Regions from separate parts of the Mus musculus genome. Here regions 1, 2, 3, 5, 6 and 7 are each reported to be linked to region 4. The links are microRNA targets in miRTarBase. Many come from high-throughput screens and were not tested one by one. Region 4 holds a microRNA gene; each other region holds the end of a gene's coding sequence.
Evidence for each region. Region 4 holds the annotated microRNA mmu-miR-24-3p (UGGCUCAGUUCAGCAGGAACAG, at 2,209-2,230, opposite strand). A microRNA usually pairs through its seed, bases 2 to 8, with sites in the 3' UTR of a target mRNA and lowers its output. Matches are read on the target gene's strand: a 7mer-m8 pairs with bases 2 to 8, a 7mer-A1 pairs with bases 2 to 7 and ends in A, and an 8mer does both.

Region 1 (4,067 bases), not on the chromosome of region 4:
CAATGTACCCTAATAGAGATTCAGGAAGCCTTGGCTGCTTCTGGGGACAGTAGTCCTAGCAGCTGGGGAAGGCTTTCCGTTCTCATCTTCTGTTCTGTCAGGATACTGATAGCAGAAACCAAACTACCTTTGAGAGTAAAGATTTATCTCCTGGGTCTTCAAAGCTTTTGCCAGGTATTTTCCTGGTTCAAGCTAATTTATTAAATCAGAAGTCTAGATTTGCTTAGAGTTTCATTCTGGCAAATATAATTAATATGTTTCTTGTTAAAAAGTTTTACTCATCTCGCCATATTTTAGAGCTTCCAAACCTGTTTGATAGTTGTAGTTTCTGCTCAGAATGTGACCTAATCCTCACTAGGAGTAATGCGCCTTTTCGTGTGTTTCCTTCTTAGTGAGATGGGATAAATTTTTATACTTACAGACTTTTGGTTTTGTAAATGATTTTTTTAAAAGGCATTTTTTTCTGTTCCCCAAATTGTTACTTTCCATATTTCAGTGACGCCAAGTCCAGTGAAAGGCAAAGCGAAAGTGGGTCGCCCCACAGCTTCGAAGAAATCAAAGGAAAAAACTCCTTCTCCCAAAGAAGAGGATGAGGAAGCAGAAAGCCCTCCAGAAAAGAAGTCCGGAGACGAAGGGTCCGAGGATGAAGCCTCATCTGGGGAAGATTAAAAGTGATGTTTAGGGAGAGGTTTTATTAAAAACAAAGGAAACCTCTGTAGGACACGGTTTGGGCTGTGGCTTGACTCATGGGCTTTCAGTGCTATTTCATTTGTCTAGAATAATGTTTTTCTCTCTATCATATATCTCTTTCCCTCTTAAAACCATTGGGTTTTTTGTTTGTTTGGGTTTTTTTTTTGTTTGTTTGTTTGGTTTTTGTTGTTGTTGGGTTTTTTTGGTTTTTTTTTTTTTTCAAGATAGGGTTTCTCTGTGTAGCCCTGGCTGTCCTGGAACTCACTTTGTAGACCAGGCTGGCCTCGAACTCAGAAATCTGCCTGCCTCTGCCTCCCGAGCTCTGGGATTAAAGGGGTGCACCACCACCGCCTGGCTCTTAAAACCATTGTATGCTTACGTGTTTAAGTTGCCATTTTGTCTCAGTCTTTTCTTTGCCAATCCCCTCCCCCCACGAAAGCCATGTCAATCAATCACTGGAGTGACTGTTTGATTTTCGAGTTGTCAATGGAGGGAAGGAATGCCATGGCTGCAAAGCAATAAGATTTCAGGTGGACGCTATGGAAACTGCTTCTTGCTAGAGAACAGCAACTTGAACAATAATCAAAAACAAAAAACTAGAAAGGTTTTAATTAAATATTTGTTCTTTCTTTTCCTGTACTTTTGACAGACCAGTTGTCACTTAACATGAGTTTATATGTCTGAACTGTAAGTGTCAAAAAGAATCATGACTCTAAATTAGTACTAGTGAGGCAGTTGGGGTGAACATGAATTCTGGATTAACTCAGCACTCACATTATTTCCTTGGGTGTGGAGGGAATGGTGTTCCTGGAACTTAGTGGATTTGTTATTCTCAAAGAGATTCAGAGCCAGTGCTTCTTTTGTCTTGATAACGGTCTTTTTTCTTTTTTTTTTTTTAAGTAGGCCACCAGAATCAGTCTTAATTTCATATTTTATTCATGTTTTCATTGATTCAAGTTTTTAAAATACTTCCTGTTTTTGGGTAGTTTCACCAATGATCCAAAATTAAAAAGAGATTTCTTTGAATTTCGATGATGAATTTACCCCTCACAGTGCATTTCTTCACAGGCTGACAATGTTAAAAGTTTTAAGCAAATAAAGTTTGAGTTAGTGTGAAGCTCAGATATAAAAGATTGAGATTTATCCTTTATGAATACAAATAATTGAAATGAGGGCCCATGAACCATGCCACAGTTGTTTCCTTTCGATATTTAAATCTTTCCTCCATAGTAACATGATAATGACATAATCTCACAACCTCCTCCTGCTGCTTCCATACTGTGGAGTTGTTTGCTTCTTAGTTGGTCTGACCCCTCCTTTCTGTTTATGCTTCTTTTTAAAGCAAGAGCCTGAGCCTCAATGGGATGAATGAACTGTATTTTATTTAGGGTGCCTCTGTGCCATTGATAACAGTCTAGATACCTTAGCAAAGCATCAAGATCAGGTTTGATCCTCCACATTCAGGTCCCACTCGCCAATAGAAGAAAAGATTAGGGGTCCTATTATGCTATTAAAAATTTAGTGGAGTAATTTCTGTATATTTTTCTGCACTTAAGCTAAATTTGCTTCCTCAGTATTCTGCCTTTGTGTTTTTTAAGTGACATGTTTGTCTCAGACAGTGTCATTTTCTTATAGGTGTTCATAGGACAAAGGGTTATTTAAGAAATATTTTTACTCTGGTTTTTAAGACACTTTAAAGAACATTCTTAGATCTGCTTTAAAATAAATAAATGAATAAATAAAGCACCTAGTAGCAGAGAGTTATTTCAACCCTGCACTGCTAATAAATGAGTATTAACATGGCCAAAAATAGAAACTTGAACATAAGCAGTTGGATTATTGTATTCTGTAATGGGATATAAGGTTGTGAGCTATGTAGTTGGTATTACAGATTATTCTATTTGCTGTGGTGGGCTTGCTCAGGAACCCGTCCTTAAAGAAAGAAGAGACTCACCATTTCCACCAGGCATCTCTCCCTTTTAGGGGTTTATAACTCAGTCTTACATTCCTAGTGACATTTAGGCTTTTCTTAGGTTATGTTTCATGAAAAGTTGTGGGTAGGGTCTCTTTCAACTTTAGGCCTCAATTTTTTAACAATCTCTTTAATAATCTGCACTAACATCTCTGATTTTATCTACCTATAATTGAGAAATAATACTATCTTCTACGTTACTTGTGTAAAAGGTGTGTCTGATTGGACTTGTTTAGAATTCCTTTTAAAACTAACTCATTAGATTGAAGGTATATTTTCTAATTACAGTTCAGTTGGGTTAATGGTGTCTCAAATGAGCACACAGGCTTTAAGTGACCTTTGTTTTCACTTTTTTTTTTAGTGGTTTATAACACTCTGGTCTTCCCTTCAAATCGTGTATGCAAACAGGAACACATTTAATGTGACTCAACTGGAAACCGGTGCTCAGCAGTTAGGTGTAACAATGATATGAGGGTGTGCCCCTCAGTTCATAATGACTGGCCCTTGGCACCTCTATGGCTTACTCTCCTTCCTCTTTTCCTCTGTCTTTTTCTTTCTGGTGTGCCTATAGTGAAGTGGCAATGTATTCAACTGTCTTACTTTGCAGTGCTCAGGAATGGGATGCTCATTTGAAGGTGCTTGTCTGTTACTGATGCTCAGCTAGGTTTACCTCTTTAGTAGATGCAGCAGTTGAGCTAACACTACATTCTAGTTCTCTAGGCTCTGGTTAAAGCCTTTGTCTCCCCCTGTCAGAAATGGTAGCCTCTGTGTTGCCCAGTGGTAAGTTACTGCTGCTTTTAACCGTCCACCACTGATGGGGTTTTGGAGAGAGGACCCAAAGGGTGTATTTACATATCTGCTGAAAAACTTAACTGCTTTCAGTACCTCCCTCTCCATATTAACCTTACAAAGGAAAACTAATGGTAGCATGAATATTTCTTTTTTTCTAGGGTAGCCAGAGAATCTCCACAGACACCTTACCAAAACCCCAGTATTTTGTGTACCCCAGGCTGGCCTCAAACTCCTGTTTTGTTTTGTTTTTTTCAAAACAACTGATTTTTTTTTTCCTGTCTTCAATGCTTATATATGGTACTAGTTCAGATAGCATTTTCTTCCACATAAAAATCAGTGGAATTTGAGGTTATAATCTAGAAGGACTTACAGTCAGCTGATCTTGACCTTTTTTGAGCCTGGTTTCACTTTGTAGTGTGTCTGGGAGTTTTTTTCCCCCCACCCCTCACTCACACTGCTGGGATTAATGCCACCATGTCAGGTGACACTTTTTAAATGAGCTTTTATTTTTATGTCCAGGAACATGTGGGTTAGAGAGGGAAATAGTGTAAACAAAACTCAGGTTTAGGGGCCCCTGCCAGAGCAGACTTGAAGAAACAGAAAGCTTTGTTGC
Region 2 (4,057 bases), not on the chromosome of region 4:
AACAAGGGAGAAAGGGGTACTGTGGGGCAGAGAGGGGAAAGAGTGCTTCAGTTCCCAAAAGAAAAAAAATGTTCCATTTGTAGAGAATATGTCACAGCTCAACTCTGGGAAATGGTTTGTGTTTGGGCTGGCAGAGGGATACATTCTGCTTGTGTTTACTCTTTGTTCCCCTGGACAAATGATGTCTTATTTTGGTGGCTGAACACTATTAAACATTTGAAGATACTAAGAATGAAAAAAAAAAAAAACGGACATTGAGGTGTGAGATTCAAAACAGTCAACGGAAGCACAATGTACCATCTTGCTGGTCATTGTGAAACCTAAGCCAGTTGCCAGAGTTGAGTCCTAACACTTACACAAATGTTTAGTTATTTTACAACTTAGAATTGCCCTATGCTGTTGTGATGTGTTATGATGTCCTCTTGCCTTTGTTTTCCTCAAGAACTAATCGCCTTGTTCATTTTTCTTAGGACAAGACCAGTGCTCTAAGCCTGAGCAATGTGGCAGGCGTGTTCTATATACTTGTCGGAGGTCTGGGGCTGGCCATGATGGTGGCTTTGATAGAATTCTGTTACAAATCACGGGCAGAGTCCAAACGCATGAAACTCACAAAGAACACCCAAAACTTTAAGCCTGCTCCTGCCACCAACACTCAGAATTACGCTACATACAGAGAAGGCTACAACGTGTATGGAACAGAAAGTGTTAAGATCTAGGGGTACGGTTAAGGTCTAGTAAACTAATCAGCCTTACGTTTGTGTGTGTTAACCTTTTTGTTGTTATTCTTTCCTGTTTCTTACTTTGGTTGGATTCTAGCATTGCCTCTTTGCTACTAGTTAGTTATCTTTAAACAATGATTGTGTTCTCGTGTCAGTGGTTGGTGCTTTTCTAAAAGCATAACTGGAATTAAGTTATGGTCTGTGACATGAAAGGAAAAAATACATTCTTAAGCAGTATTATTCAATGCAAATATATGTGAGTGACACGTGTGACCCACATGAATAACATTTAACTGTTAGTTACAGAGTTAAAAATAAAAGAAATGCAGTTAATCTTAATCATGCATTTCATTGAAGTCAAGATACCCAAAATATTTCGATTTGTCACTTACACAATAATATTGAAAATGAATGAGATGTTTTATGTTCTTTTATTTATACTAATCTTTGAAATTTGGGGTGCTTCTATACTTAGGGAATACCCAAGTGATACTAGCAACATGCCAAATATTTAGTAGTCACATGTGCCCATGGCTGCCATGTTAGACAGTATAATTCTAGAGAAATCAGATATTCTGGAACTGAGGTTTAAACTAGGAAAAAGAAGCAAGGTCCTGCCACCTCATGTAGGGAAGTCCTTCCATGAAGAAGTAGTGGTTGTTTTAATTAAGCAGTGGAAGCATGAAACAAATTTCTTAATTTTGAGTCCCTTTGTTATCCCTTCCTTGGAACTGATGGTGCTCAGGTAAGTAAGGGTCTAGGTTACTTGCTGGTGACCAAATCAAAATTAATACTTAGGAAAACCTGACTACCAATAATGCATCTAAATTTAAAGGCAAGCATGGATTCAAATAATGCTTCCATTCTACAAGTATATAAAAGGATAAAGTCTTACCACCTTCCAAGTACATTTGCCTTACTGATGTGCCTATCAAAAGTAGAACATAACAATTAGCAACTTCCTATACCTTATTTTAGCTGGCTAACTTTAACCCTACCAGTAAATGTCAATATATTCCAATTTCTATATGTTGACCTTCTTATATATAACCTAATAAATCTAAATTTAGTTAATTTTTAAACATTTTATCCAAACAAATCATTTGTTATTACCATGGAAAACATGATCTTACTTGAAGAAGTTGCTCGTTGTCCTGTTGTCCTGTAGACTGCAGCCTTCAGCTACTACACACTCCGTACAATGAACTAACCTGTTAACAAATTGTTCCCACTAGTGAATGTTCAACCCATAAGTTCATCTGTCATTAGCACTATTAGCATGTAATCAGTTAATGTTCTCATGTGCTAGTGCTTTGAGTTGATGATATAATTCAGTTGGGGGCATATCATTTGCTTTTTTTTTTTTTTTTTTTTTTTTTTTTGTAGGACAGTACAGGAACAATTTCAATCTAGCATAATTACTGCAAACCCCAAGGAGTTGAAGTCCAACTATTTAGTACGCCTTAAGAATATATAGCAGTTTTCCATGTTCTGTCACATCTATTCCCTGGGTTGTAATAAAAATCGATCAGGCAGTATTTCCCCTCTGGTACCTAAAACTCAGATACAACAAGTGGCTTGTCTAAAGCTATTCAACTAGGTAGTGGCAGATTCAAGTGTAAAGTGAAGCCTTTCTTCCTCTTTACTAAACCAGACTTACCTCTTCCTGACTTCTCCATCTATAGCCTGATAGTCTTCAGGAAATTTGAACCCTTAGTTAGATTTTGTCAATTTGACAAGAGATGATTAGTTTATTACACAGCTGTCCATGCAGGCCATCGGATGACTCAATAGTTTAGAGCACTTGTTGCTCTTGCAGAGGACCAGTGTTCAGTTCCCAGCACCCACATGGCAGCTCACAACCAACTGTAACTCCAGTTGCAGGGGAGTCAATGCCCTCTTCTGCCTCCATGAGCACTGCATATATGTGGTGCACTTATATTCACGCAGACAAAACATGTACAAAAATAATTAACATATATTATTAAAAACCATCTTGAAAAAGTTTGTAGACCCTCCATGCCGTACTTCTTATGCACTGCACTCCATATACTCCATACAGACACACACACACACACACACACACACACACACACACACACACACATATGTATATATGTACATATATGTGTGTGTGTGTGTGTGTGTGTGTGTGTGTGTGTGTGTGTATTGAAAACTACAGTTAGCTTCTTTGGCTTCTTCAGGAATGTTTTTGAAATCCATCTCATATGCAAGGACACAACAAGCCTGTAATTTCGAGAAAGTTCCATTTTTCCTCTAGGTCTATACTATTCCATCCTATGAAATACTGTTATTTTCCAAGGTATCAAGATTCCTTAAATAGCGTATATGTAGGTATTCTTTGAGTGGGTGAAAGGTTGAGACAGGAGCTTACCTAATAACCTAGAATGAGCTAAAACCCACAGAAATCCCCCTGTCTCAGCTTGAATAGTGAGATCATAGATGTGAGCCATCAGGTCCAACTTGCATAGACATTCCTGCTGGAGAGTTTTTTCCAGCTTAAGGGATCTTGAAGAAGAAACAAAAACTAATTTTATGTCAAGTGAAGAAAATTTTTTTGAATAACTGAGAGGGTGAAGTTCTTTTTCCTCAGAGAGCTTTTATCTGAGTACCAGTGCTGTTTCCCTTCCTACCATTTAAGAGCAGGAAACAGTCACTGAGAAGTCAAGTCACTTTCTTAGAGTTATGGGGCCAGATAAGGCTATCCCATTGGCAAGAAGAAAGAAAGAAAGCAAGGAAGGAAAGGATGGAAGGATGGAGGGAAGGAGAGAAAGAGACAGAGAAGAAGAGAGGTGGGAGGGGAGGGGAGGGAAAGAGAAGAGGAAGAGAAGGAGAGAGGGGGGGAGAGGGAGAGAGGGAGAGGGCAAGGGAGAGAGAGAGAGAGAGAGAGAGAGAGAGAGAGAGAGAGAGAGAGAGAGAGAGAGAGAGACTCTGGATCTGGGGGAGTACCAAAGAAGAGCTTTTCCTACTTTCATGTTAATCTTTTGGCTCTTTGCATTCTCATACATATGTTAATTCTAGGACCAGAGGTAGATAATGATGTCATTCATTCAACCTAGCTTCAGGGTTCACTCAAGAGAAAACATGAATGTTCTGTTAGTGTACAGGGAAAGGTGGCTGAGAAAGGATGTGAGCCAACAGGAGACAGACTCAGGAGCAAAGAATCCCCTGCATCTAGTCGAGGCCATGAAAACGAGGGCATTATCAGCACCCTCTCAATCGGGCCCCTAATTTCAAGGCAAAGCACCTATAGATGCCAAGCTGTTTCATGGGTATCACTGCTTTTGCCTGTTTTCTAGAATGTGCTATCCCTTTAA
Region 3 (4,067 bases), not on the chromosome of region 4:
TTTTGGCATTAAGGTTGTTTGGCCTTTTAGAGCCAAGTACAGAATAGTCACGTGTCACATAGTGACATTTCAACCAACAACAGATGGCATGCACAATGGTGGTCCCATAAGTTATATTGCCTACTAATGTGGTAGCTGTTTGGTTTGTGTAAGAGCACTCTTCGATGCTTGTACTACGAAGATGCTGACGAGTGATACGGTTTTTGGAATGGATTTCCAGAATGGAAACGGGTCTCTTAATCATCAGTCCAGACAAGACTTGCCCCTATTTTCCACGCTCTGGGCCATGAATGACTCTACATACTTGTGTCTCTCTGAATACATATGCGGTGCACAACTGTGTCTGTGCCTTTACTCTGCTGGTTGGAAGGAGACGTGGACTACCAGAGCCTGCTGCCAGTTCAAGTTTTGTGCCTTAAGGTTGCTTGCTTTTGCCTCTTGGGGAGTCACGGCTGGATGGGCCCCTACTAGACAGTTTCTGTTGATCCTTTCTCTTCGCCTTACTGATTTATGCACTTTGGGAAGCCGTGATGCCTGCAATGATTATTGTGCTTTGGACTAAGGCATGGGACAACCCTGGCACCCACTTCCCAGTGGAGTGCCCTCTTCCCAGGCAGTTGAATTCTGTGCTTTCTGTTTTGGTGATAGGAATGGGGGAACTCCAAGACTTGGCCACTTAAACAAGGTCCAGGTGACCTCCCTTAGGAAGCACTAGGTCCAGAAAGGCAAGTGTTTACCCTGCCAGCCCATTGCTTGGGCTGGGGCTAGAAAGAGGCAATGTATTCATGGCTTCTGCTGCAGCTTTCCTCAAAGGAAGAGCACTTGAGTTGAATCAGTACCTAGGAATAAGGAAACTGCTTCATCCCTGGATACCATAGGGGCTGCTGCTCAAATGTCTTGTGGGGGAAGGAGGCCAAGGGACAGACCCGGAGAGGTTATGCAGTGCTGAGCCGCTCTCAGCGGCTCTGTCCCTGCAGCTCTGCTGTGGCATCCTGATGTTCCCTTAGTTAATCTGAATATAAGGATGAGAACTTCTGGATGAGAACCAGGCCTGGGGGAAGTGGTCTTCAGAGAAGTATATATGCAACCCAAGCCTCTATTGGTTGGAGCTCAGGATGGGCGGTGTTGAGAAAAGCATTGATCTTAACTTTCAGCAGCCAAGATGGGAAAGACTGAAACATTTCTCAGACCCTCATCAGAGCCAGACATTAACCTTTGCACTTGGCAGAATTTTAGACAGTCACAGTGATAGAAAGGCTTGGAAAGGGAATGAGTCTTACTAGGTTGATGACAGTGTACCTCTATAAACACTGAGCCCACACCAAAGAGAGATTATGGACATAGGGCTGGGGCGGGCTTCTGTAACAACGGACTAGGGAGCAATGGGCCCTCCTTTTGGAACAACACTGGATGCTTATGGAGAAAAGGTCAGCTGTCCTGTGCCATCCTGGGTAAAGAGGTGATCCCAGATAGGCCTGGTCCTGTTGAGGATGAGCTGCGGGGCTGGCTCTGCACAGTCCGATTCAGCCTGTGGGCTTCTGCCATTCAACCGTACAGAAGCAACAAACAGCTGCTCCAAGGTGGTAAGCATCGTCTTGGTCTGTAGAGGACCATGGAACAGAAGAGATGGACTCCCAGTGTCCACAGCTGGGGAGTGGCAGACAAGCACTGTCCAATTCCCAAAGCCCAGAGATGAATTATCTCTGTGCGGTTCAGCAGCCCACAGCCACAGAGAGAGAGAAAGATGACTCATCGGGAGAGCGAGCAAGAGCCCCTGAATTTAGCATGCTTTAATCTTCTCAATGGAAAACCCCAGGGCTGGCTGCTACAGATGCAGTCCTTGAGCCCAGCAGGTTTGTGCTTTGTTTTCGACTCGATTCAATAATGGGCCATCTTACTGATCAGTCCTGGGAACATGGCCGAGTCATTTTCATTGTTGTTATTGAGACCAAGTCTCACTTGTGTAATCCTGGCTGGCCTAGAACTTGCTATTTAGACCAGTCTGGCCTTCAACTCATAGAGATCCACCTGCCTCTGTCCCTCAAGGGCTGGGATTAAGGGTATGTACCACCATGCCCAGCTTTAAGTAATAGTTTTTAAAAGCTGTGGGTTTCAAAATGAACCCACATGTATCTCCTGCCTGCTTCATTTCAGTCCTAAATAATCTGTCTCCAGCAGTATACTACCCTGCTTCTAGGTAAGGCAGGTCCTACAGAAGGAGAGCATGCAGGGTTCTTAGCAAGGCTTGGCTGGAGGTGCCCATGGCATCTGAGCCTCTCAACACTGAGCAGCATGCTCCTTCTCCTGAAACCATCCACTTTAGTACAAGTGCTTTCAGCAGTGGAGACAATGCAAGCTTTCTGCGGGACTTTGCTCAGTTCTCTCATGAAGAACTAGTTGTCAGAACTGCCCATACCCAAGTCATCTGGTTGAAAACAGAAATCCAGAACCTGGATCCCTAGGTCTTAGGGCTGACCCACACCATGTTCTGACTCCAGAGCTTCAGAACTGGGTGATGGGTTACACAAAGCCTGGAGGCCAAGCTTGCTACACCCATGGCGTTCGTTCTCCACTTGTCCACAAGGTCCTCTCAGGTGAGGGGAAGACACGGAGTGAGCATCAGGGAGAAGCAGCGACTGGGGAGACGGGAGAAGGACACACTGTCCCCCTTCTGACGCTGACTAGGACTTCTTGACAGTTGAGATACAAATCTTCTCGAGCCTTTGTTGTCTCTTCTTAAAAAGCACAACTGCGTAGGCATTCTGCAGAGCTCCTCTGGCTATGTAAGAGGGTGGCTTGCCCTCCATATGATGCCACAGTTCTATGTCTGTGGCTGAGTTGGGCTGGAAAGTAGGAAAAGCCCGGGCTTTCTTTTCTGCATCCTCATCGGCCTCTGAGGCCGCCACCTAGGCTAAAGCACCTCACACACAGTGATTCCTGCCAGTGTATCTGTTCTTCTTGGGTCCCTAGAGCTTTGGACCACTTGAAGACTAGGGACCAGGGGTCTCATCTTGGTTTTCCTGTTCTGCTAAGGACTTGTGAAGTTGGATGACCTGGCTGAAAAGTTCCTAGACTTCTGGCTCTCTGGGAGAGACTGTCTCCACTTTCTCCAGGCAGAAATCCACAAACTAGGTTCCTTCTCTATCACAAGGAATCAGAATTTAAACACAAACTTCGGGATGGTTTTGAACTGTTCTCCCACCATGGCATACCTGAGGGACATACAGACACTCACAAATAACAGTGGTCATCACCGAAGGGCGTTTCCATGTGGGCAGGGGGGCCTCTCGGCATCTCCTGGAGGGGAAGTGAATTTAAATTGTCCCCTTCTTTCTCCTGGGAATCAGAACTGACCAATAAAAAGAGTGAGAAGAGACCCTCTTATCTAAACCAGGGGGGCTCAACAAAAGGCTTTTGGTCCTTTTTCATCAAAGAAAGAACCAAAGGAGTTTGAAGGCATGGATGTCTAGGCATGTATGTGGTTGTATGCGCATGTGCACACACGTATGCGTGAGGTGGCAGGTAGTTTTATGATGTGCGGGCAGGAGGTGATCCATAGCAGGTAATGCCACAGCTCTTGGGGCCTCTCACTATGGCAATACTGCCTCGGTTGTGAGGGGAACGGTGGCTTCAGTGCCATAAAGCTTAATGACAAATTAAGATGTTGGCAGTGTCCCATTCCCATGAGTCTCAGTGCCAGAGGTTGGTAAAGGAAAAAGAAAGGAAAGAGAGAGAGAGAGAGAGGATGCCACCGTCCCAGAACTGAGCTTCTCTGTCCCACCTATCCTGGGGGCTTCAGGTGGATCGCTCCGCTGTTAGGACGAGCAGCCAAGATGTAGATGACGTTCTCTCTTAGGAAGGTGGGCCAATCCACGTATCTGCAGAGGGAGAGAACAGGTTTGCAAGGCGGGGCACAGATGCGGAAGGCCCAGAAGGCCCAATCCCAGTGGCAGCTTGCCTTGGACTGGACAAAACTCAGTGGGGCTTGCCTCATGACTAATACAGTTAGGGTCGGCTCTGCTAAAAAGCTAGCAAACCAGTTGTTTTTGCCCTGGAGACCTGGGGTC
Region 4 (4,067 bases):
AGACCCTGCTTCGCATCCTATTTGACAAGTTAACGTTTGCAATGTTCTGTGTCCTGTGAAGTCAGGTGGCTCACGGAAGAATGGAGACTGCACTTTCTTGACTCCAGAGGTCTCAGCCAGATGAGGGAAGCCTGCTTCCACAGCCTCATGGGCCTCTGGTGCAGCTATGGGTGGCAGGAGCTGCTGCCTAACTTGTTGGGGTGGGGGACTAGAGGAGAGGGGAGGATAGGCTTGCTCTGCACCCAGCCAGAGGTGGCAAAGGACAGCTCTACCACAGATCCTTCACCAAAGCTGTGAAATGGGCATCTGGTTCCAGTGAGATCTCCACTTACCTGAAACCCATTGGCAAGAACCCAAGCCAGACACAGCCAGGCACAGGGCTCAGTGACCCATGGGGACAAGGGACTTGATCCCTGAACAAAACCCACCTTAGGCGACAGCTTTGTTTTGCTTTAGTGGTTCCTAAGAACAAAGAACAAAACCAGACTAAACCAGTGCTTGGCTGCTCTCTCCAGTTCAGAGGAGGTATGGGCCACTGAGGTTCTCAGAGGGGCCTTACAGGGTGTGTGGTTCTTAGTCCACCTCTAAGCAAGGCCAGAGTGCTTCTGAGAGCAGGAAGGCATAGACTCAGCCATTTATTTCAAGTCTTCACAGAAATCAGGGTAACATTAAGTAGAATTAACACACTTTGATACTTGTACCATTGTGGTATACAAAGCAGATAACCATTTGCAAGTCCCCTGCAACCATCCAAATGCAGTCACTGCTACAGCCCAGGCTCTGAAAACCAATGGTTCTGTGCGGACGCTCCTCTCAGTCTGTCCTAGAGCCTTTGTCACCCAGCAGGTCTGGGTGCAGAAGCCTGGCCAGCCAGTGGGATGCTCCTTCTGGTTCCTCTGTCCACCGCTCTGCCTTGGCTGGGCTCATGTGACTGCACTGATGGCTCAGTCTCAAGCACCGTTCTCTAGACAGTGACTGAAAGAGCTTAGAGCTTGTTCTGAGACTCCGCTAGTACCAGGCTGGCTGAAACTCCACATTTGGAAGAGAGCAGAGTCCCAAGCCACACTAATTTCCCTTTACTTCCAACCTTTTTAGAATTAACATTACCTGGAGGTAGGAAGTGTGTGGAAAGTGCCTGTTCTGACACACGTTCTTCTTTGCTTTTAAGGAGCATCAAATTCAGAAGCAAACTGGAACACTAGCAAATCTGGTACTTTATTAAGACATTTTAGGCTTTCCTGCATTTTCAAAAACAGGAATGCTCTGTTGACTGAACACATCAAAAGGGCTTTGCAGAATCCTTGGGGACCAGCCACAGGAGGTGTCACATGATTCTGCAGTCTCAGAGCATGGCAGCTAGTTTTTGCAATCACAGGAAGCAGGCAACCGGCTCTCCATCTGCCTAGGGGAGGGTGTCCTTCATTGAATGACTGCCTTAAAGTCACAGCTCAATTCCAGTGTGTAGACTCAGTCTCTCTAGGACTGGGAACAAAGGCAGCTGCCAGGTGCAACAGTTTATGAGGCTCCGCCTTTTATATATGCCACGGGAGCCCAGTCTCTGGAAGCCCAAGATGGACCAACCACTGCTGTGGGCTGATGGCCTTAGCAGCCACATAATCCTCCCTTTGATGTCCAGGGTCAGTGCAGTCCTGGCCCCACCAGGGCTAGGAGAAGGTATATGAGAATCTCACTGTGATCTGTCCTGTGGAGGAAACAGCAATAAAATTTATTACCCAGTCACCACAGCCATTCCAACAGGAGTCCTCCCAGCCTCTGACCTCCACTTGAGAGGGAACTTTTCATGGGAGGACAGGGGCAACACTGAAGCCACACCTCACAATCCTGGGTCTGGGGTGCACAGTCACGGCACAGGCCATGCAGGGCTGTGAAGCCCAGAGAGGTTCAGAAAGGCTCTACAGACAAGGCCCTTCAGACAGGCATTCTCACTGCTCAAGGCAGCGGTGACATGGTGTGCTCTGCCCCAACACGTGGCAAATGCTCAGCGCCTGCCCTACCTGCTTCTAGGGAATGCAAACTTTCCAAGGTTAGCTCTGCACTCTACAAATCCCCACCTCGGGAGCACATACAGAGGGATACCACTGCTGTTGGGTCTGGTACCAGACACTCAGGCCCTTCATCTTCTTCTCCGTGGGAGGCCTGCCTCAGGCACTTACAGATGGGTAGGCTTTTTGCTCAAGGGCTCGACTCCTGTTCCTGCTGAACTGAGCCAGTGTGTGAAATGAGAACTGATATCAGCTCAGTAGGCACCGGAGGGCGGGTCCAATCACAGCTGGGCAGTGCCTCCTGGCGTGCCCTGGGCATCATCTTGCCAGCGACTGTGGAGACATGGAGACCTGGACTGCAAATACAAGAAAGAGTTCACCACGCCCAGCAGGGACAAAGAACCACACCCCCACCCATCACGTGTGGCATCAGCTGAGACAAGGTTGGCTCAGTTTCCTTGATGCACCTGGGTTTAGTTTTCTGTGACTCCCAATACACTTGACATTACAGTGAACTAATTAGCAGTAGAACTGTATTTTCTGTAGACACACTTAAGGGTGGTCAGCACGCTGTTTGCACTCTTGACAACACAGCCTTGAGGCAGGCTGGTCTCTCCTCCTCTGGAGTGACCACCAGGCAGTGGCCTCTGCCTGGCAGCTGCAAGTTAACTGTCCCCATCTCACCTTCTCTTCAGGTGCAGAACTTAGCCACTGTGAACAAAGCGGAAACCAATCACTGTTCACCAATCAGCTAAGCTCTGCACCTTGTTAGAGAGGTCATCGCCGGCCATAATTAAAGGGCTGGTGAGCATCTTCGAAGGCTGTTGGCTTCTTTTGTTTCCAAAGAGCCACAAGGCGCCTCTGTTCTCCAAACTGCAGAGAGAAAGTAGCCACGGTTCTGCAGGAGCAGCCAAGGTCATGGTTGCGTGGTAATCCCTGGCAATGTGATTTTAATCTCAAGTCACAAATCAGCATGCCAGGAACCCAAGCAGCCAGAGCAGGTGAGGGCAGCACCATGCCCAACCACTCCCATCCACATGTGCTGAGTGTCCTCCAAACCGCCTCTGAGCCCACCACGCTAGCAGTGCAGCCTGCTGTCCTTCAGCGCGCTGGCTGCACTGTATAGAGGAGCATAGGGGACTGGGAGACAAAGGACACACTTATCAGCTATGAGACCAATACCTTAGGGACCATCCTTGCTCTGAGTATGTGGCCTTTAACCCTGGGACACACCCTGTTCTCCAATTGCAGACTGAATGGGTTGGGATGTCTCTGGGCCCCTCAGACAGCAGGTGTGGTGTGTAGGGAGGGAGCATCTCTCTGGCTTGCCTGTGACCAAGCATTTGGTTGGATAAGCTGAGGCATAGCACAGAGCTCATAGGGGACCTAGCAAGTTGAGGATTTGCTCACTCAGGGGGCAAAAATACTCTTAGAAGAGTCACTAGGACCACTATGTGACTATGGCTTTCCTAAGTGAAGGCCTAGGGACCTAAAAAGGGAACAGTGGCTTTACTGTGTGACCTTCACACACCACATACCAACAATCCCTCAGCTTACAAGTTTCTAGAGAAATGTCTGCAGGAGGCAGTGAAGAGGCGCCCCGACCGACTCTGTCTATCCACACAGGCCACCGTCCTAGCTTGTAGTGTGCAGGCTTAGCAGGCTGTACCTGCTTACTCCAGCCCACTATCTCCCCTGCTTGACTGTGGCGGTCCCCAGCTCTTCTGCAACAACATGGTCATACATAGTAACATGTTTTCCCTTCATCAGTGTAGTTCTTCAGAAAAATAAACATTACACAGAAGTGGGTTTTATAAAAGTGAAATGTGAAAATGTAAATTTAATGTCTGACAATGGGTTAAGATTAGCAACACAATTCTAAATATTCATTAATTGGTAATCATAGAGAACAACAGAGTAACACAGTGATTGATGTAAAATTTCAAACATATACAAAAGTAAACATCATATGTACCACCATGGCAAGCGATAATGTCCTGGGATGATGTAGAGATGATGACTGGCGACTATGAAAGAGACGCACTAGCCCACACCTGTCTCAGA
Region 5 (4,067 bases), not on the chromosome of region 4:
GAAAGACATCGAGACAGAAGGGAAAGCAGCCCACGGTCTAGACCAAAGGACGACCTTGATCAGGAAAGATCCAGCAAAGCAAGAAACACGGAGAAGGACAAAGGGGAACAAGGGAAGCCCTCTCATTCTGAAACATCACTAGCAACAAAACACAGACTGGCAGAGGAAAGGCCAGAGAAGGGCAGTGAGCAAGAGAGGCCCCCTGAGGCTGTGAGCAAGTTTGCAAAACGGAGCAATGAGGAAACTGTGATGTCAGCTAGAGACAGGTATTTGGCCAGACAGATGGCGCGGATAAACGCAAAGACTTATATTGAGAAAGAAGATGACTAAGGACTGCCCATATCTGGAGTCCCTTGCAAGCGTAGAGCATTGTAACTCTTGAACTTGGTTTAAGAAAGCATACAACTGTTCATAGAACAGCGACTGGAGAGTATTTTTTAAAATATATTTTCAAAATTTGTTAAATCAAAAGTCAGTTCTTTGAGCTTCAGTGCTTGTGAGGTTTTTCCTAATGTATAGCACTTTCTTGGTTTTACTCAAGAGTCAAAGGTGTTAAATCTTGTAGATTCTCTGTGAGGAAAATTGGCTTCATGTTATAATGTTAATAAATAGCTTGTACAAATGTTGCTTTTGAGTTTTTTTGGTTTTGTGTTAACTATTACCTGGGTGGATGTTTTGCCTACATGTAAGTCAGTGCACCGGGTGGCTGCCTAGTACCCACAGAGAAGGCCAGAAGAAAGCACTGGATCCCGGGAACTGAAGTCATAGATGGCTGTGAACCGCCTTGTAGGTGCTAGGAATTAAACCTGGGTCCTCCGTATGGGCAGCCAGTGCTCTTAACCATCTCTCAGGCTCTGAGGAGATTTTGGTTGTTGTTGTTGTTGTTTGTTTTTTATTATGTTCTGCTTCTGGTGGGGTGGGGTGGGGATTGTTGTTATGCTCTGTTGCCCAGGCTGTTCTAGAAATCCTGTGCTCAAGTGATCCTTGTGTCTCAGCCCCTCAAGTGCTAGAACTGTAGGCAGTGACCAGCCCTAGGCCCAATTTGTCTCTTGTTACAGAAACTGTTTTGTAGATACTTCCTTTGAGTTAAAATATATACATTTTGGAAATAGAGAAAATTGTTTTATGTTCTGAAATCCCTGTTAAAATGTAACATAGAGATAGATCATGTGTGGTTTTTTTTTTTTTTAAAGATTTATTTATTATGTGTAAGTAAACTGTAGCTGTCTTCAGACACTGCAGAAGAGGGCTTCAGATCTTATTACGGATGGTTGTGAGCCACCATGTGGTTGCTGAGATTTGAACTCAGAACCTTTGGAGGAGTAGTCAGTGCGCTTAACCACTGAGCCATCTCCCCAGCCCTAGATCATGCATGTTTAAACTTTTTGCTCCACAGCATACTTGGCTTAAATAAAAATAAAGATAGTAATATGCTACTGCATTTAATTCAACATTTACTTAACTATAAAGGTGATTTCCAGGGTAGGGACAAAGCTCAGTAGTAGAGCTCTTGCCTGGCATGCACAAGGTCCTGGAGTTGATGTCCAAGATTGAAAAAAAGCAATCATTTCATTCATGTTCAATTCTGGGTTTTATTTAGAAGACATCACTTTTTTTTTGTAAGTTTGTATTTTGCAAATTACTAAATTGGTGTGTAACTAAATCTGTCAGCTGAGAATGAAAAAAAAAAGTTTTATATACTCCAGCAAGGAGACTGAAGCTTGTTAAAACTATCTCTATGTTCAAATAAAACTAGTTTCTGAACTAAGTCATTGGAACCTGACATCCTGTAAATTTATTCATGGGTAAAGGAAGGATAACTACTAGGGAGAAAGTTGTTCTCTGGCAAGTTTTCCCATCACAAAAAGACAATTTATCTCACTATACTTTACCACAAAGAGTTTATCATTTTAGGAAAATAAGCTTGGTTGTGTATGTTGAAGTAGATAAAAACTACTATATATTAAATGTCATGTTTAATGTTTATTATTATATCCTTAGATCCAAAGAGGAGACATAACAGAGTGAATATCTAGATTCCTGCGTGACTTAGGGAAATTTATGCAGATCCTGGATAACCCCTGGAAAGTACTGGTTACACAGGGGAAGCAGCATAGCTGTGGGACAGTGAGACTGAGAGTGGAGCAGAGAGAGAGAGAGAGAGAGAGAGAGAGAGAGAGAGAGAGAGAGAGAGCGAGCACACACTGTTCCTTAGGATTATTCCCTATGCTTGGAAAAGTCAATTTGATTATGTTGTGCAAGGAGGGAGAGATTATATCAAAGAGATCAGATAAACTTATTTCCCCTCTCCCAGAAATTCAAATGCTTCCACAAAACAGATCAGATACTTTGTATAGGAAAAGATACTGATTGCTTAGGTGGCATAGGTTTGTTTTTTTTTTTCTGTCAACTTTTATTCTGTTTGCCTTAGAGCAATTCTACTAGAAGTTCTACTTATAAAAGTCCCTCTGTAATTATGTTGAAGGTTATGCAGCCACACAGTGAAGACAGCCTTTTCTCTGTGGTCTGTCTCACAGTTTCATGTAGATGAGCCAGAATACATTGAAAAGCCAGTAGTTACTGCAGCAAAATCAAGTAGAACAATCACCAGGATAAGAAATCTACTGAATTTCTGTAAACATTTTTGCCATGAACAAAATAGGTATAATATTGGAAGCCAGAAGAGGACATCAGATCCTCTGAGACTGGAGTCACAGATGGCTGTGTATGGCCGCATGGGGTGATGGGAACTGAACCTAGGTCCTCAGGAGGGGCCTGGTACTGTCCCATGGAGACAAGATTATGCTTGTGTCTTTTCAGAAAAAGGATAAAGTCCCAGGTGGCTCCTGATACATATATTTATGTTTTTATATTCCACTTAGACCTTTATAAACCATCCTTAGCATGGCAAAACACTAGCATGCTGTCTCCAAGTGTGCCCTTTATCCCCATTGACAAAAGGCATTTGCATTCTGCAATAACAAGAATTAACATGCAATGCAGTCACTAACAATACAGGCGCTGGAGAGATGGCTTATTGGTTAAGAGCGCTCACTGGACCCTGACATGCAGCCTCATTTCCAGAGCATTTTTTCCCCCTTACTTCTGCCTCCACCTGTTGCTTTCATTGTCCTTTGCTTTGAGAACTGACCTGGCTAGTTCTATGTCAAGTTGACACACTAGAGTCATCAGAGAGGAGGGAGCCTTAACTGAGAAAATGCCTCCATAAGATCAGGCTGTAGGGAGGTCTGTGGGGCATTTTCTTAATTAATGATTGATGGGGAAGGCCCAGGCCATTGTGGGTGGTGCCATCCCTGGGCTGAAGGTCCTGGGTTCTGTAAGAAAGCAGGCTGAGCAAGCCATGAGAAACAAGCCAGTAGACAGCATTCTTGCGTGGCTTCTGCATAGGCTCCTAGCTCTAGGATCCTACTCTGTTTGAGTTCCTGCCCTGACTTCCTTCAATGAACAGTAGTGTGGAAGTGTAAGTCAAACCCTTTCCTACCCAAGTTGCTTTGACCATGGTGTTTCATTGCAGCAGTAGTGAAGGTCCCCACAGACAGCAGGGTGCTCCCTCCCAGACCCAGAATTGGGTACAAACCACACCCAAACACCTGTTTTCACAGAGGTATCATTTTTTTACGTGGGAAAGAAAAGTTAAGATGACTGCTTTCTGATTTTGGCAGAGAATAGCAGCAAATGACCCTGTAGGTGTGATTTTTAAGAGGTAAAAAGGGGAGGCCCATGTTAGAATGGGCTAGGATTCAGTGATATGTTCTCATTAGGCATGTTAATTAGGGTAGCCAAGGGGGCTTTTGATTGCTGGGTTTCAGCACTTTGATAGCTGAACCTGGATGATCAGCTTTAGGAATGAGTCTGGCATGGGAAAGTGGCCATGTAAGGAAACAGACCTTGTTGGCCAACTTCAGAGATATAATCTGTAGTTTAGGAACAGAGAGGGAACCAGGAAGAAAGAGCAAGGCCTGCCAGTGCCATGTTTGCCATGCGTGGGCCTGCTAAAGCCCTTCAATTAGTAACGCTAAGACAAGTTGCTACCAGGATAGTGGGGT
Region 6 (4,067 bases), not on the chromosome of region 4:
AATGATTATGTAAACAATTATTATAAAACTACTGAAAAGGTAAACTAGTATTCTCTGGACGTTACTTTTGTCCTTGGGAACATCTCAGTATTATGAAAATTGCTAAGCTTACTCGAAGCCTTTCCTAAAGTGAATTTCAGAGAGCACACAGACTCGCTGAGAGAATTTAAGGAGTCCTACTGAATTAGTTGGTGAAGCCCAGCAGCAGCTAAACAGCTCACTGGCATGCATGCTTTAACATCAGCAGTGAACTTAAAGGCATCACCTTCTTACTGGAACACCGGGACTCTTCAGCCAGTTTGACAGTAATTCAGTCTTTTGAAAACACAGTAAGATATGCAGTGGCCAGACCTGGAGCTGCAGTCAGTGGTCACTGCATGGCCAGGCTCTTCACATACATGCTCATGGGTATCTCTTGCTCACAAACCAGCCACAGTAGTCCTGGCTCTGTTTCCCTCTCGCTGATTAAACAACCTTGTATGAAACTACAAAAGAGTATTAACGTTTTCTAAAGAGTTCTCTGAAAAGAATAAGTTGGCTCAAATTTACTTTTTGAAAAATGTTGACTATGAACTATTAATAGATATTAAGAAAATGACCATTTCAGTTTCCTTAGCAGTCAAGATCAAGAATTACTGGGTGGTGGTGGTGCCTGCCTTTAATCCTAGCATCCAGACAGAGCCAGGTGGATCTCTGTGGGTTCGAGGCCAGCTTGGCTTACAGAGCAAGTTCCAGGACAGCCAGGCCTACACAAAGAAACCCTGTTTCAAAAAAAAATCGTTAATCGAGCTGGGCGGTGGTGGCACACGCCTTTAATCCCAGCACTTGGGAGGCAGAGGCAGGCGGATTTCTGACTTCGAAGCCAGCCTGGTCAACAAAGTTTGTTCCAGGACAGCCAGAGCTATACAGAGAAAACCTGCCTCGGGGGGAAAAAAAAATCATTAATCAATGGAATGAAGACCTTTAAGCATATTTAATTTTTCTAAGTCAGCAATTCTCAACCATCCTAATGCTACAACCCCTTAATATAGTTCCTCACGTTGTGGTGACCCCCCAGCCATAAAATAATTTTGTTGCTACTACATAACTGTAATTTTGCTACTGTTATGAATTTTATTTTCTGATGGTCTTAGGTGACCTCTGTGAAAGCAGTCATAACCCACACGTTGAGAACTATTGCTCTAAGTGATGGCAGTGTTTATGAATACAGTGATGTGTCTGGCATCACAGAGTCAGGTAAGACACACTCAGAACATTATGAGCTCAGCATCTCCCTTGGAGTCATGGAGGAGTAGCAGTCATGGAGAATCCAACCAGGGACAAAAGGGAAATACTGGTAAAATGAGAACCCCACATGTCACAGCTTGGCTTTAGGCTTGGGACATCTTACACTGTAAGACCAGGCCCAACCTAGGTGGATGGAGATCAGCTCTGAGCTCTGGTTCTCTTTGGGAGGTAGCTGAGGATAGAGAGCAAAGAGCATCGGTGTGGTGATGGGGTGTGGTGGTGTGATGGGGTGGGGTTGGGGATGGAAGGGTGGGGTGTCGGGGTGGGGGACAAGAATTGGTCTTGTGAGAGATTGTGTGCTTTCTATAATAACATTTACCAATTTTGACTTTAAGTTACTCTTGAGGCTAAAAGTTGCAGGTCTCTTGGCAAGTTGACACCTGTCACTTAAAAGAGGTCCTTGTTCTTTTCTCCACAGGCTGAGCACCTAAAGCTGAGGGTTTAACTCCTTGTCAGCTAGGGAAAGTCACTTTTTGGAAGAAAAAGAAAGGAGACACTTTAAAAAGGGGTTCTAATCCTTATTTCCAAGAGAAAAGAAAAATGGAGGGAAAACTATTGAAACTATCTAACTCACTCCAAGCTGTTCACGCTTAGTTCTTTATTTTCTATGTGCTCGCGTAGTGTCTAATTCAAACATTCACAAGTTTAAACATAAATTCAAAAAGAAGATGGCAACAGATGTTTATGTGAATTTCCATTAAGAGTAGTTATCTAACTAGACATTTCTCTTCTGTCACTAGCTCCGCAGGTTCACTGAAAGTTAAAAACCATAATTCTTGTGTAAAAGTTAACAATGAAGTTTCATATAGATAAGCCCAGTCAATATTTTATGTTCTGTCCTAGCACCTACAATAAATCTTTCATTCCCTTTTATGACCTCTAGTTAATTGTTTTACAGCTCTAAGAAATGTGTTCTAAGTTGTAAATGCCTGCTTTCTATCTCAGAAGTAATTATGACATGTGAAGACTGGCAGAGTTCTCACTGTAGTTTTCATATCAGCGAGGGCTTTAATAGCAGTCCTATTATAAAGGAGTTAATAATTACTAGTATAATTTTAGGAATACTTATAGGATCATCATTAAGGTGTGGTGGTGCACACCTTTAATCCCAGCACTCGGGAGGCAGAGGCAGGCGGATTTCTGAGATCGAGGCCAGCCTGGTTTACAAAGTGAGTTCCAGGACAGCTAGGGCTACAGAAAAACAAAAAAACAAACAAACAAACAAAAAATAAGAAATCATCTATTTGTCTATATAGCATCACTACAAGACAGTACACACACAGAGAAAAGGCATATTAATACTAGAAATCTTTCCTATAATGTTGTCCTTTGGCCTTGCTTGGAAGGGCTCATGGTTCACCTGTCACGGTGAAACCATCTCAGGAAGATCACCTGCTAGCTCTGAGCCTCCCCTAGATGGCTCCTGGGATTAGATAAAAGCCCAGCTCCAGGAAGCATCATGACTAACCTGGAATCAGGCTAGGACACACAGCTCTCATTTTAGCTGACTGTTCAGCAGTGTTAGAATGTCCCCCTGGAAATGGGTGGATGCAGCTAAGGACCTCTGACTCTGATTCATCTCTAACAGAGGTAATGACATCAAAAGCAATAAGCACCGTTATCAACCATCATCAAGGGCAGCTGGCATGGGTTTCTCATTTTCTCCCTAGTAACTGTTTTCTGGATGAGGAAGGGAAGGTGGAACACAGCATCAAGGCTGGAGAAAGCATCTGACCTTACAGTTCTGCTTTCTCAAGTCTTCTAAGACAGAGAATTTGTACAGCTCCAGGCATTATTGGAAGGATAAGGGCATTTTTCTTATTAAAAATACAGCAATGCGGGGCTTGAGAGATGGCTCAGTAGTTAAGAGCACTGACTGCTCTTCTGAAGGTCCTGAGTTCAAATCCCAGCAACCACATGGTGGCTCACAACCATCTCTAATGAGATCTGACGCCCTCTTCTGGTGTGTCTGAAGACAGCTGCAGTGTACTTACATATAGTAAATAAATAAATTTAAAAAAATACAACAACACAGATCTTTCTTCTGGCCAAGGCACCTACACATCACCTAATACTCAGGTGAGCAGTGAACCATTGGAAAAGACAAGCCTGTGGCTTCCACTCAAGATCAGAATCCAGGCTTTGTCGAACGCGAAGCGAGCACATGGCCTCTCCTTTTAATGGGAAGAGAAGAGATTCAAACTCCCAGTTCAAGAGCCTCGTTATGTAAGATATGGCACAATTTTCACCATGCTCATTGAAGGGAAAAGTGAAAAAATTCAAGGAGCAGATTATTAGTTTTTAGAGTTTTCTCTAGACATCAGAGACCTCTGTTACCCTGGCTGTAGCTGCCATTCCTTTCTGTGGGAAGCTGGGCCTCACTCATCCGTCTTGATTTGGCTTTAGTCGCTACTAGGGCTGGTACAGTCTTCACAGCTCAGGACCTCATGGTCTGAAAACAGACAGAAGTCAATCCGCTCATACTCATTCTTCTCCCCACACTCAAACAAACACGCCACCAAGTCCTGTTCTTCCACAACAGCCAGATCAGAGTAGCCACTGGGCCCACGGTTCAAGATCCACGGGCGGGACCAGCAGTTCACCTCCAAGGGGTTCCGGTTGTAGTAGATGCCTAGGTTAATCCTCTTCCTCTTGCTAGTTGGATGTGAGTACAAGAGCCATGTTGCTGATGGTGTTTCAGCTCCTTTCTCCACCTCCAGAGGACTGTCCAGCAGAGGGCACTTCTGAGTAGCGGGAGCACCTTTGCCAATTGAGTCTTG
Region 7 (4,067 bases), not on the chromosome of region 4:
GGCAGACTCACTCCCCCCACGGAAGGGCTGCTAGTGTGTATAGGCCCTGCGTTCTGGAAGAGCTCGTCCCTAGTATGCAGGAGACCCTGGCTGGATTCCATCCTGAGGATGATTTTTTTAAAGTGGACTCCAATTTAGAGTCAGGCTTTAAAACAGGTGTGCTTTGAGTTACCATTCTAAGCTAGGCTATCCCTGCTGGTCCCCGCTGAAAAGCCACTGTCACTTCAGCTGAAGCTCTCGCCCTTGTCCCCTGACAGAATAAGACCTGGAAGTTTGTTGAAGGCCTCCCCATTAATGACTTCTCCCGTGAAAAGATGGACCTGACAGCAAAGGAGCTGACCGAGGAAAAGGAGACCGCTTTTGAGTTTCTCTCCTCTGCGTGACTAGACACTCGTTTTGACATCAGCAGACAGCCGAAGGCTGAGGAATCAAAATGTCGTCTTTGAGCCTAGTACCAAACAGTAATAATGCTACATTCAAATTGTGAACAGCAAAATATTTTAAATAGTGTGTGCTTTATGATTTGTGAAAGTCTATCATGTTGTTAGTGCTGCAATCTAAATAAAAGTATATTCAAGTGAAAATCTCTCAGACTCTGTTTCTACTTTATATTTAGTATCTTCAGGAAAACAAGTTTGCCCAATAGATTATAATTTTACTTTTTTAATTGACTAAAAGAAATAAAGATGGAAAATATTATGAAGTAAAGCATTAGTCTCTAACATAAACAAGGAAGCCCAATCAATTTCAGAGGGATCCCATTACTTAAGTCCTTAAAGGTTGGTTCATGTTTTGCTCATAATTTGATTTTAAAATTAGCTGTAAGAAGGTTGCAGATAATCTATCTTCTTTATATTCTATAGCAGAATAATGAAGTCATTAATATTTGATAGCCAATAATACCACACTATTAATATTTGTAAGCTAAGATTATTAGAAACATAAAACTGTTTTTGAGTCAGTCTGTTTTCCATGAGAAGACATGCATCATCTTTGTGTGTTTTGTGCATTACTCAGTGCAATAAATAACCATAATCTCAAAGCTGGCTGTAATTTGCTTTGTGGATATTCAAATACTTGTTGGTTAGATTTGCTGTTTACCTGTATTAGTAAATATTATCTATATTAAAGTGCATACAGTGTTTGCCTATACCTCACAAAACCCTGCATTCAATCCTCAACACCACTCAGAACTAAGCATAGTGGTGCGTGCCTGTAATCCCAGCACTCAGGAAAGGCAAAAGCCAGAGTCATCCTAGGCTACATAGTGACTTCATGGCCAATATAGGATTCGTGAAACCCTGTCTTTAAAAATTGTTTTTCTTAATAATAAGATGACCTATTTCACCAGCTCTGATAGGATCTGGAAAAGAAAAAAGCAAGAGTTTAAAACTACCATTAGGAAAAAAAAAAAAAAAAAAAAAAAAAAAAGCTACCTTCAGGACTTTTATTAGTGAGAAGCATAAAGCCAAAATTGTATATAAGTTAATAAAATTTTGCATGAGTGCCAGATAAGTTCTCAATCCCCATAACATCCTTGCTCCTGTAACACAGGAACTCAAGACTCTGCATGCTATATTTCTTTCACATTTCATTTCCCAACTATCTCTTGTTTTGAAAATACAAAATGGCACTAGAGGTGTGGGAGGTGCAGCGTCAGAAGCAGATGAACACTTGATCTTTCCTCAGTGTCACATTTATTGAAGAACAATAAATTGAGAAAGCATGACAGTTTCATCGACAGCAATTTGCCCAAATAACCCAGCTATCCCTGATCCACCCACCCCAACCCCCACCTCCACCAAGGAAAACGTGTATTTTACTCTAATCTTAATAATAGTTACATTACAGTTTACACCGTGAAGACAGTGATCACACTCAGAAATCAAATCTTAAAAATTGAAGAAATCAGCTGGGCGTGGTGGCACATGCCTTTAATCCCAGCACTTGGGAGGCAGAGTCAGGCAGATTTCTGAGTTCAAGGCCAGCCTGGTCTACAAAGTGAGTTTCAGGACATCCAGGGCTACACAAAGAAACCCTCTCTCAAAAAACCAAAAACCAAAAACAAAAAAACAGAAACAAAAAAAATTGAAGAAATCAGACCATCTCATCTTTACCATGAACTCTCTGTGGTAGGGTTAAGGGATTTGTCTATGCTGCAGATAAGAGCTCTATACCTGGATTCCCTCACCCCCGTTTTTTTATTTATTTGTTTATTTTTGTCATGTATGCTATCTGAAACTAAATCATTCCCAGCTCTGAAAATGTACAAAAGCCAGGTTTGTTCATGGGATTTCTTTGAAGACTGACTTCCCCCACATCTCTTGTCATTCTTTCATGGCTCTCTATCTCTGCCTTTCTATGCTGTCTCTTGGTGAATGAAGCACCTCTCCAGGTTTTAGTGGGTCCAGATGAAGGGACAGACAAACAGATGGACAGCAGGTCCAGAGAAGCAAACAGGACAGCAGTCAACAATTTAGCAGCATGCTGTTTCAACAGCAGGGATGGAGACAACCTGAAGCCCCCAGGACAGTTCTCTGCCTATCTGTTAAGTACAGGGTGCTCAAGTAACAGACTAGAGTGGATACAGTGATAACAGTGATACAGGTGATCAGCTCTTCATGTGACTCAGGTGAGAGATGCTCCATCTCCTTAGTCTGAAATGGTTGTTCTTGGCCATGGATTCTGTGACACAGTTTTAACACCCCCATGTGCTATCTCAAGCCCCCATCTACCCCAATAAATGCATGGGCTGGACCCCTTTCCCAGGAATCAGTCTGCTGTGTTTCTGGATAGATGGTGCCCATTCATGTGTCCACCCAACTGAGTTATCTTCCATCTTCATATGGTGTCAAAAGCACTTGTGAAAGAAAGTCTCATGGGGCAGTGCCTGGCTTAAGAAATCACTGCTTTAAATAGTAGGGAGTGACTTAGACTAGGGCATAGCCTGATCTCAACAACAAATAATTTATAATACATATAGTAGAGAAATGGCTCAGCAGTTAAGAGCACTTGTTCTTGCAGAGGACCTGGGTTCAATTCCCAGCACCCTTAAAGGTGGTTCAGTACTATCTATAACCCCAGGTCCAAGGGATCTAATAGTGCATGTGATACGCATACATGCATGCAGGCAAAGCATTCATACATATAAGGTAAATAAACCTTACAAGGACTATTTATACACAGTTTTTATATTGCATGGTTCCATTTTTCTATAAATTAGGAGTGTCTGTCCTGAAGCAAGAAACCTAGGTGCTCATCTTCCCAAACTCCTAATTGTTCCACAGGAGTAGAAAATGGAATCCCCCACCACCTCAGCAAAGGGTATCTAGCAGGCATGGATAGCCCCCAGAAAGAAACACAAGTATTACATGTTAATAGTGAACAAAAGTTCAAACAGTAACTATAGTCACTCACTGAGTATATGGGGGTGTTAAAACTCATTCCTCATGAGATCTAGATGAGCGATGATTTTATGTGCAGATAGAGTTGGTACTGTTAGGGTTATTTATATAAGAAACAGCTCTCGTCTCAAAGGGAATGAGATCACTTATTTTGGAACCAAATAAGAGTAACGATTGCAAGGGAATACAGATTTAGGTTACTCCAAATTCCATGTTCTAAAATGGCAACAATTTCATGAAGTTTTCGTAAAGACAAAACAAAAAAAGTCATAAATCTGGGCCCTTTGAATATATTGGAAACACCAAGTAGGCAGGTTTCAGAAGTGAGGAAACCTTTTCTGAGGGCCTCAGATGTTGTCTGATAACAGCTTAGCTTTGTGTTGGGGGAACCTAGTGGTCAACTAAGTTCTTTGAAGAAAATAATGGGGGTGAGGATCCATTTAGACAGTACTGGTTCACTCTCTCTCTCTCTCTCTCTCTCTCTCTCTCTCTCTCTCTCTCTCTCTCTCTCTGGGAGGGGGGTGTGGGGGGGTGTCCTGAGGAGTTGGTTTTTTAAGGTCAAATCTGAAGAATTAGAAGTTCCTCACTTTCTTGAGGGAATAATTATAAATTCATCTGTGAACATAGCCTAGGAATAAACACCTAGAATAGAGGAAAAACCTG

Region 1: the mRNA of Nucks1 is a reported target of mmu-miR-24-3p. Seed matches in the 3' UTR shown: 7mer-m8 at 2,040-2,046.
Region 2: miRTarBase lists Gria3 as a target of mmu-miR-24-3p. The part of its 3' UTR that is shown has no 7-base or 8-base seed match.
Region 3: miRTarBase lists Phf24 as a target of mmu-miR-24-3p. The part of its 3' UTR that is shown has no 7-base or 8-base seed match.
Region 5: miRTarBase lists Nsrp1 as a target of mmu-miR-24-3p. Seed matches in the 3' UTR shown: 7mer-A1 at 1,275-1,281 and 8mer at 1,343-1,350.
Region 6: miRTarBase lists Neu3 as a target of mmu-miR-24-3p. Seed matches in the 3' UTR shown: 7mer-A1 at 3,209-3,215 and 8mer at 3,140-3,147.
Region 7: the mRNA of Mdh1 is a reported target of mmu-miR-24-3p. The part of its 3' UTR that is shown has no 7-base or 8-base seed match.

What each region holds. Positions count from the first base shown.
Region 1 is chr1:131,930,538-131,934,604 of GRCm38, forward strand. Nucks1 (nuclear casein kinase and cyclin-dependent kinase substrate 1) reads left to right here. Exons shown (of 7, transcript NM_175294.3): 7 at 497-4,067. The coding sequence ends at 669. Among named protein-coding and RNA genes, the nearest start is that of Nucks1, 22 kb to the left of the region's middle.
Region 2 is chrX:41,671,749-41,675,805 of GRCm38, forward strand. Gria3 (glutamate receptor, ionotropic, AMPA3 (alpha 3)) reads left to right here. Exons shown (of 16, transcript NM_016886.5): 15 at 471-718. The coding sequence ends at 716. Among named protein-coding and RNA genes, the nearest start is that of Thoc2, 240 kb to the right of the region's middle.
Region 3 is chr4:42,939,316-42,943,382 of GRCm38, reverse strand. Phf24 (PHD finger protein 24) reads right to left here. Exons shown (of 9, transcript NM_001346526.1): 9 at 1-3,878. The coding sequence ends at 3,782. Among named protein-coding and RNA genes, the nearest start is that of Dnajb5, 8.5 kb to the left of the region's middle.
Region 4 is chr13:63,299,414-63,303,480 of GRCm38, reverse strand. It overlaps Mir24-1 (microRNA 24-1), which reads right to left and starts at 2,273; the gene lies at 2,206-2,273. It overlaps Aopep (aminopeptidase O), which reads right to left. Exons shown (of 16, transcript NM_001289926.1): 16 at 604-4,067. It overlaps Mir23b (microRNA 23b), which reads right to left and starts at 2,997; the gene lies at 2,924-2,997. It overlaps Mir27b (microRNA 27b), which reads right to left and starts at 2,769; the gene lies at 2,697-2,769. It also overlaps Mir3074-1 and a transcript of Fancc not described here.
Region 5 is chr11:77,042,003-77,046,069 of GRCm38, reverse strand. It overlaps Nsrp1 (nuclear speckle regulatory protein 1), which reads left to right. Exons shown (of 7, transcript NM_001012309.2): 7 at 1-1,778. The coding sequence ends at 330. Among named protein-coding and RNA genes, the nearest start is that of Gm22772, 8.9 kb to the left of the region's middle.
Region 6 is chr7:99,809,569-99,813,635 of GRCm38, forward strand. Neu3 (neuraminidase 3) reads right to left here. Exons shown (of 3, transcript NM_016720.2): 3 at 1,871-4,067. The coding sequence ends at 3,690. Among named protein-coding and RNA genes, the nearest start is that of Neu3, 17 kb to the right of the region's middle.
Region 7 is chr11:21,553,759-21,557,825 of GRCm38, reverse strand. It overlaps Mdh1 (malate dehydrogenase 1, NAD (soluble)), which reads left to right. Exons shown (of 9, transcript NM_008618.3): 9 at 258-1,134. The coding sequence ends at 383. Among named protein-coding and RNA genes, the nearest start is that of Mdh1, 16 kb to the left of the region's middle.